Coturnix japonica: one gene and its partner. The protein of the gene in region 2 purifies or fractionates together with the protein of the main gene of each other region. This does not show direct contact. Links are inferred from orthologs where the notes say so. Each region holds a gene or a part of one and is shown on either strand. Other genes may lie near its edges.

Region 1 (3,655 bases), on a different chromosome or scaffold from region 2:
CATTTTGCACCCACGAGGCGTGCTTGGCATCCACCTTCATTTTTTATTACCGTTCTGAATGTAGCCAGGCTGCAATAACTCGAAAGGTCGCCAAGCTGGTGGCACAGCCCAGAGTTCAGAACTCCAAAGTACCACACAAAACTGCCACTGGTGCAAATGCAAAGCTGCAAACTGCCTGTGATCACACACACCCTTGCTACTCTTTATCCTACCCACTGTCTTGCTGCACGAGGACTTCTCGCGGCACCAGCTCTTGCTAAGGCTGCATGGCCCATTGGTCTGGATGCTCCCAACACCCCTCCAGCTTTGGGGCTCCCTAAGATCGCCATAGGTACACCTCCCTGCTGATGAACACACATCCATTCGGATGCGCATCTTAAAAAGGCACTCCCTACCCCACCACAAGGTAAGGACTGCACAAACAGGAGAGCAGCATAATGGTGAGATGAGCTCATGTGCAGCTGACCATGTCTTATCATGGAATCACAAAATGGTTTGGGTTGGAAGGGACCCTCAAGACCTTCCAGTTCCAACCCCTTGCTATAGGCAGGGACACCCCCCTGTAGACCAGGTTGTTCCAAGCCCCATCCAGACTGGCCTGGAGTGCTTCCAGGGAAGCATTTATGTGGCCTTAAAAGTTAGGAGAGGAAAATGCTGTGGTTTCCATGTATTTCTGCTCAGCGAGGCTGCAGTTTATTAATTCCATACAGCCGAGAAGTGCTATTTTTAAAAGCAGCCCTCAGCTTGTTTTGAACTCTGTGAGCATCCCGCTTTGTTTTGCGGCAGGGCAACCAAACCACGGAGCCAGAACCGACCCCGAGTCCTCATCCTGCGCTTGCAGATGCTGAGCAACGTCTCCTCAAGGGAAAAAGGAAGGACAAAACAAACAAACAAAACAGAGAGAGAAAGAAAGGATAAAAACTAACAGTGAGGACGCCCCAAACACGCACACCTCTGGTGGGAAGGCGAGAGGGAGAGGCCGAAAGCAACCCCGAGAAGAGAGGAGAGGAAAGGAGTACAGGGGAGGGAGCAGCGGCCGCTAGCAGACAAAGGCGCGGGGACGCGGCGGGCGGGGAGCTCCGTGCCGCCCCCCGGGGCCGGGCCAGCGCCGGGGCCGCCCCCCCGGGCCGCGGCGGGGCCGGGCCGGGCCAATGCGGCCGGCGGCGGAGCGGCGCTGCCCGGCGCAGCCAATGGAGGGCGCGGGCAGGAGGGCTGCCGCTGGGGGCCGGGGGGCTGCGGGGGGGTCCCCGCCAATCGCGGCGGGCCGGCGGCGGGGAAATACTATTATGCTAATAGTTGTTTTGCTCGTCCTCGCGGGGAGCGGGGTTTAAAAGCCGGGAGCCGGGGGAAGGGGCTCAGAGGCGGAGGCAGGGCCGGAGTGTGTTTGGTGCCGGACTGGACGAGACGGGACGGGCGGCGAGGGGAGCGGCGGGGGCGGGCGGCCACGCACCCACCCACCCCGTGGCGATGTCCGACGTGCACCTTTCGGGTGCGGCAGCGGCCCCGGAGCGCCTGGCGGCTCTGCGGGCGCTGCCCGTGCCCGGCCGCAGCGCCGTCTGCAGGAGCTTATTCGGGCCGGTGGACCACGAGGAGCTGGGCCGGGAGCTGCGGAGCCGTTTGCGGGAGATGGGCGAGGACGATCAGCGCCGCTGGGACTACAACTTCCACACCGACACGCCGCTGCCCGGGCCCGGCCGCCTGCGCTGGGAGGAGGTGGAGGGCGGCACCGTGCCCGCGTTCTACCGGGAGACGCTGCAGGTGGGCCGGCACCGCGTTCCCCTACGCCGTGCCTCCCCGGCCCCGCCGTCCGTCGTCAATACCGCATCCTCCGCCGCCAAGGCTCCGGGAGGGCCGGGGGCGCGCCTGAGCCGAGAGAACCGCGCCGCGCCCCGCCGACGTGCACTGCGGCCACGGCGGAGCGGCCCCACGACCCGCATCACAGGTGCGTGCGTAGGGAGGCCGGGCGGGGGAGAGGGGGTAGCGGCATCGCGGGGCAATCTTTGCGGCTGCTGACGGCCCCCTCCCCCCGTCCCTCTCCACCAGATTTCTTCGCCCGGAGAAAAAGGCCGGCCGAGCCCAAATCGGCGGCCGAACGACCCGTGGGCTGCCCGCAGCCCCCCGCCGCCGTGCCGGCTGAGCACACCCCCCGCAAGCGGCTCCGCTGAGCCAGGTGAGAAGCTCCAGGGAGCCAAAGGGAGGGGGAGGAGCGGACACAGCCTTGTCCACGTCTCTGTCCCCTCGCTTCTAACTCCCTCTTTATCCCTTCAGCCTTTTGCACTACGGCACCCACGGGAGAGGTGCGTAGCCCGCAGGCGCCGTGCCCCGGAGTTGTGGGCAGCCGGGACCCCCCCGCACCGCGCCCGGTCCGGGCCCCGCAGCGCCGCCGGAGTCGGGTCGGAGCCGCAGCGCCCGCCCGCCGGGAGCGGCCGCGCACGGAGCAGTGTTAGCGTACGAGTGTGCAATGTGTGACGTTCTGTACAGAAATGTATTATGCCTAATGTGAGTACACTGGCCAGAAGTGTAAAGCTTTAACGGAGGAAAAAACAAACAAACAAAACAAAAACAAACAAGTCATTTATATGGAAATGTTTAATCTCTGCTGATCTCTCAGTGCAACAAAAAAAGAAGAAAAAGGAAAAAAAAAGGAGAAAGAAGAGGAAAGAAGCACGTGTATATTTGTACAAAACGTTTTCTAAGAGTTATACTAACTTATATTTTCTATTTATGTCAGAAATGTGGATAACTGGTTGACATTCAATAGTCTTTTTTTTTCCCTTTTGGTTAAGCCAGAGGGCACTATATTTGCTTTTGTTATTTACAAAATGTAAATTTATTTTTATAGTCGGATTTTGGTTTTGTTTTTTGTTTTGGCCTTCACGTGATGTAGTAATGAACCCTGCAGTCTGTTCCCTGTACTTGAAGACAAGTTCCTATAGTTCCTGAGCCCGACTGTATCACTACCATTGCCAATAACACCACAACCTCCAATAATAAAAACATCCCAGGAACCTTTGCAATGCTGTGTGCTGTGCTGCTACCCAGGGGGGAGGGGGCGGGGGGGAGGTTGGTTGCATCTTCCAATGCTCCTGCACGCACTGTGACCAAACTGCTGGGGGGACAGTGTGGCTGCAAAGCAGGGTGGGGGTGTATGGGCTGTAGTTGGAGGGGGAAAGAAAAAGGCTTCTTCCCTTACAAACAAGCGAGAGTGCTGCTGGCCATGACAAAATGAGATGGGGAACGCACATGCCTGAAAACACTTGAGTTTTGTCTTTCTGCATCGCGATTCCCTCTTCCCCCAGAGCTGAGGCCCAAGTTGGGCCGAGGGGCAGCCCCACATTAATGGGGGGGAGGGCAGACTGTGCCCTTGGGGGTCCCTTCCGGGTGCACGCCTTCTCCATCATCTCGGGGAAAAGCCCTTTCCCGCCCGAGCCCAGCACTGCTTTCCAGCCCCTATTCCTCCCCCAACCACTACAAGCCAGAAAAGGGCAAAAAAAAGCAGCCCCCAGGCAACATGAACGCTCGCGGGGTGGGGGCACGCACTTGGTGTGGGGCAGCCCCGACCGCAGGTGGGGTGGCTCCATGCCACGGTGCCCCGATACCGCCGGGCGGAGCCGGGGGACCGAGGCCGGGTTGTCCCCGCCCCGGCTGTCCCCGC
Region 2 (4,345 bases):
TACTTAACCGCCTTTGATTTTTATGTTGTAAAATATCTTTGAGGAATTACAAGTTCAAGAAGGAAACGCGGACTTCTTGGTGCCAGAATACCGCAGTATTTTGGAAGAGGCAGATCAGCTGCTGGAGGAATACAAGAAACAACCTGCACATCTCGAGAGACTTTACGGTTTGTTGATCAATTAAACTTCTTGTCCTAACTGCAAATTAACGCTCAGAGAGCGCAACCTGGATGCTGCTGAAGTAGTTATGAGGTCAGCACTAGTAGAGCTGAGATGATTTGATAGGCTGATACACCTCAGTAGCTTTTTACATCTGTACGTTAAGCTTGTCTTTTTTGGCAAGACTGAGGGCTGTGAGTTGGGGTGGAGCTTAAGAATGTATGTATACCTGACTGATGGAGTTCCCAGCATTGAGGTGTTACAAAATAATAGACAAATGCACATGGGGTGGAAGGGGAGGATCTTAGGAGAGGAACTAATTGAGTGAAGGAAAGTCTGTAACCTTCTGTAGAGCTCCCTGTTCAGCTTTCAGCTCAGGGGCTCCCTGTCCTCACATACAGGGCCTGCTCTGTGAGGTCAGCTCCTTCCTCCATTCAGAGACAGGCACGTGTGAGGCAGAAATAACCACGTGGAAATTAAGCTGGTTGCTGGTCGTACTGACAACAGACATTTGACTTTTGCAGGTATGATCACTGATCTCTTCATCGATAAGTTTAAATTTCGAGGCACCAACGTGAAGAGCAAAGTTCCTCTGCTGCTGGAGCTGCTGGATGGCTGCGAGCAGGACCGGCTGCTCGCCTTCTTTGAGGCCGCGTCCTGAGCGGGACAGGACGGGCAGTGTGTGCAGTGTGTGTGTGCAGAGTGTGCTGCCTATTGCCAGGGGAGGGCAGTAGGCACTGGAGTTCATATATATATATATATTAGAATGGACACTCCATATATATAGAGTGCTGCACACAGCAATCTTCACACCTCCACTGAATATACACAGACAGCTGTATCCACCGGCCTTTTTCCTGTACTTTCAGTACAGTTAGAGACGATGCAGAGGGTAGGAATGTAAGAGCGATGTTTGTAAAGTACGTTTAGGATCCTGTACCTGAAGCTGCGAGTTTGTAATTAAAGCTAATTAAAGTTCTAATCCCAGCTGTGGTGTGGTGCGCTGCGCCTGCGCGGTCACCGGGCGGGGCGGGGCCAAGCGGCGCGCGGTGTGCGCTGCGCATGCGCGTTGCGGCGCTCCGGTCCCGCCCCCCGCGCGGCTGGTGCCCGCGTGACGCCTGGCCGCTGATTGGGCGATTCAATAGTCGCGGGCTGCTCGAACGGCGGCAGCGGCTCCGGGCCGCGAGACTGCGCGGCGGCGGGACGCCGGCTCACACCCGCACACACCCGCACATCCGCGCTCCGCGGCCGCCCCCGGCCCTTTCCCCCTCGGCCGCTTCTCCCCCCCCCCGGCGGGCACCATGCTGGCGGAGCAGGAGAACCAGGAGAACGTCCCCCCGCCCGCCAAAGCCCCGCCGCCCGCCGCCGGTACCCGCGTGGCGCTGGGGCTGCTGCGGGGCGGCCCGGCGCGGCCGGGGCTCGGGCTCGGTGCGCAGGTGAGCGGCGGGGCTTTGGCGGGGGGCGGCGGGCGGGCGCCATGTTGGGGCGTTGTGCAGCTGTCAGGGCGGCTGTCACGGCGCTGACCGAGCGCTCCCGCAGGCGGCGCGGAACGGAGAGGGCCGAGGCGCGGCGGCGGGGCGGCATCAGCCCTTCAGCGTCTACGTGGACGAGCCCGACGAGGAGCCGCGGCGGCCTCAGAGGAAGAAGGAGCGGGATGAGGAGGCGGCGGACGCGCCGGGGCTGCGGGCCGCCCTCGGGACCTTGGGGGAGCGGCGGCCCCTGGCGCCCCTGGGCAACGCCATGGAGCTCAGCCTCGGTAAGCGGCGGCACTGCCCCCTCCGCGCCCGGGGCGAGCGCCCGGCCCGCGCGATGTGGTGCCGGCGGCGGGACGCGGCCTGAGGCTGAGGAACGGGGCTGGAGCGCGGGGCTCGGCTGGAGGGAAGGGGGGAGTGTGTTGGGCAGCCGGGAAAGGGCTTCCCGGCCCTTCCTTAGTGGGGACAGCGGGGCGCTTCCTCCTTGAGCCATGGTTCGGCTTCCCCAGGGCCTGCTTGGCCCCCCTGCGTGGCCTCCCGCCGGCCAACAGCATCGCGCCTGCTGCACGGGGTTCTGCCGGGCCCCTTCTAACGAGGCCTTTCTCCTAGACTCCCCGAGTATCATGGATATCTCCATAACTTCAGAAGCAGAAGAGCGACCAAACGTTAACAATGTGCCAGACTATGTCAGCGATATCCACAAGTACCTTAGGGAAATGGAGGTGAGATGCCACCCGTTCTCTTGCTCGCATATTTGGGCTGAGTGTATCTGAGGATAAGTTACTGCCACAGTGACTGAAGTAAAGCTAGGAGTAAGTCCCCCTGCTTCCTGCTGGGAGGTTGGCTGCGCTCTGCACTGAGCACAAGCCACAAAGCACATGATGCAGATGTAACTTTCTGAGTCCAGATTGACCATTGCTTATTGTGACCTGTTAAAAACAGTCTGGGTATGGTAAATGGGAGTATGAGTGACTGCTTCCCTGCAGGCACCCAATCCAAACTCAGTCTTGTCTGTCATCTGAACCCACAGGTAAAATGCAAGCCTAAAATAGGCTACATGAAGAAGCAGCCTGACATCACCAACAACATGCGAGCTATTCTGGTGGACTGGCTGGTGGAAGTTGGAGAAGAGTACAAGCTCCAGAATGAAACTCTGCACTTAGCTGTAAATTACATTGACAGGTTTCTTTCTTCAATGTCTGTTTTGAGAGGAAAGCTCCAGCTTGTGGGTACTGCGGCTATGCTGCTCGCATCGTAAGTAAAAGTTCTTGATGGAAAATAACACCTACTGGTTTCATAGTGATGGAAGTCTTGTAGCTTTCATATGATAGCCTGTAATCATATTGTTTAGTAAGGGCTTTGTAATAGGTTGAAATATACAAAAGCTTGGCAGCCCATGTGAAGCCTTGCAAGTGAGATTCCAGGTTGTCTTTGTAGATTGGCCTAATGGGAGGATTTCCAGATGTAGGAGTGAAAGGCTTCACAAGGGAATTAAGGCAATAGTAAGAAAGAGTATGAAAAAGCTATTTAGTTTTCTTCTGGAATTTCAGTAACTCTTAAGTTCTAAATTACTTAGTCCCAAAATAACAGGCTGTTGAAACTCTTTAACTTCAAATTCAGGTGATTTGAGACCTATCAACCTGAGTGCAGCAAGCTTGCTCAGTCACTGTATCCAGCTACTTTGGAAGTCAGCACACAGTTCAGCACACTGGTTTTAATGAAGTGTTGCTGGTGGCCTGGTTCTCTAGTCCCTAACTGTTTGCTTCTGTTTCTCATGGCAGGAAGTTTGAGGAAATCTACCCCCCTGAAGTAGCAGAGTTTGTCTACATCACGGATGACACCTACAACAAGAAGCAAGTTCTGAGGATGGAGCACTTAATTTTGAAGGTTTTGTCATTTGATTTGGCAGCTCCAACGATCAACCAGTTCCTCACTCAGTATTTCCTGCACCAGCAGACGAACGCTAAAGTTGAGAGCTTATCAATGGTAAGGATTACTAGCTCAGTCTGTGGAACTGTAGAGTTCTGTTGTTAATGCATTTTACAAGAGCTGTTGTATGGGAAATTGGTAATCACAGCCTGAACCTCTGGTTAATCAGCTGAGGCAAGTGTTGGGGCAGCTGTGGGAGCACAGGTGAGAGTAATTTAGCTGTGCTCCAGGAAGGGATGGAGCTTGACTCCACCTTCTCTAGACCTCATTTAAGGGCTGACCATCACTAGGGCAGCATCTCTTGGAGATTGCTCCTTGGTGGAGATTGCTCCTTGGTGGAGATTGCCTCAGCATTTCCCAGTGAAGGCATCCATATCAGTGAGTTTTTCCTCATAAATAACCTTTTGAATGTTACCATCTTTGTATCATTCCACCTTACAGCTGTATTTGTACAGACCAGTGGTAAAGGGCTTTTTAGAGTGGACTTTTCCACCTCCTAATATGTTCAAGTGTGTGATCTCTCTGGGACACATCTGAGAAGTGCTCATGATGTGCCTCTGGCTCCTCCAGAAGCAGATCTGTACTGCTGGAAGCAATAGTGTCATTGCTGCTCTTTGAGACATTCCATTACTGTTACAGTCTGGTACTTGGCCTGGCTCCACATGAATGCTTACTCAAAGCAGGCCAAGACTGCTGCATTTTAGTTTGGGGTTTGTTTCCCTGTTAGGTATTCCCTGTGTTCCTGTCTAAAATTGACACGTGCACCTGCCCTCTCACTTGGGCAG

The links. The genes of interacting proteins can lie anywhere in the genome.
Region 1: the proteins of CCNA2 (region 2) and CDKN1C purify together in Homo sapiens (affinity purification with mass spectrometry; 3 studies listed by BioGRID and IntAct, counting the BioPlex papers as one, with this or other methods). This does not show direct contact. The link is inferred for Coturnix japonica from reciprocal best matches to the Homo sapiens genes CCNA2 and CDKN1C.

The regions. Positions count from the first base shown.
Region 1 is NC_029520.1:11,344,737-11,348,391, reverse strand, and holds CDKN1C (cyclin-dependent kinase inhibitor 1C), read left to right. Parts: upstream 1-1,254; 5' UTR 1,255-1,467; coding exon 1,468-1,942; intron 1,943-2,043; coding exon 2,044-2,165; 3' UTR 2,166-2,170; intron 2,171-2,268; 3' UTR 2,269-3,017; downstream 3,018-3,655. UniProt on the Homo sapiens protein: Potent tight-binding inhibitor of several G1 cyclin/CDK complexes (cyclin E-CDK2, cyclin D2-CDK4, and cyclin A-CDK2) and, to lesser extent, of the mitotic cyclin B-CDC2. Negative regulator of cell proliferation.
Region 2 is NC_029519.1:48,272,028-48,276,372, forward strand, and holds the start of CCNA2 (cyclin-A2), read left to right. Parts: upstream 1-1,445; 5' UTR 1,446-1,460; coding exon 1,461-1,595; intron 1,596-1,698; coding exon 1,699-1,915; intron 1,916-2,240; coding exon 2,241-2,353; intron 2,354-2,661; coding exon 2,662-2,885; intron 2,886-3,412; coding exon 3,413-3,617; intron 3,618-4,345. Other genes in the region: BBS7 (Bardet-Biedl syndrome 7 protein), read left to right, coding at 44-167, 684-820. UniProt on the Homo sapiens protein: Cyclin which controls both the G1/S and the G2/M transition phases of the cell cycle. Functions through the formation of specific serine/threonine protein kinase holoenzyme complexes with the cyclin-dependent protein kinases CDK1 or CDK2.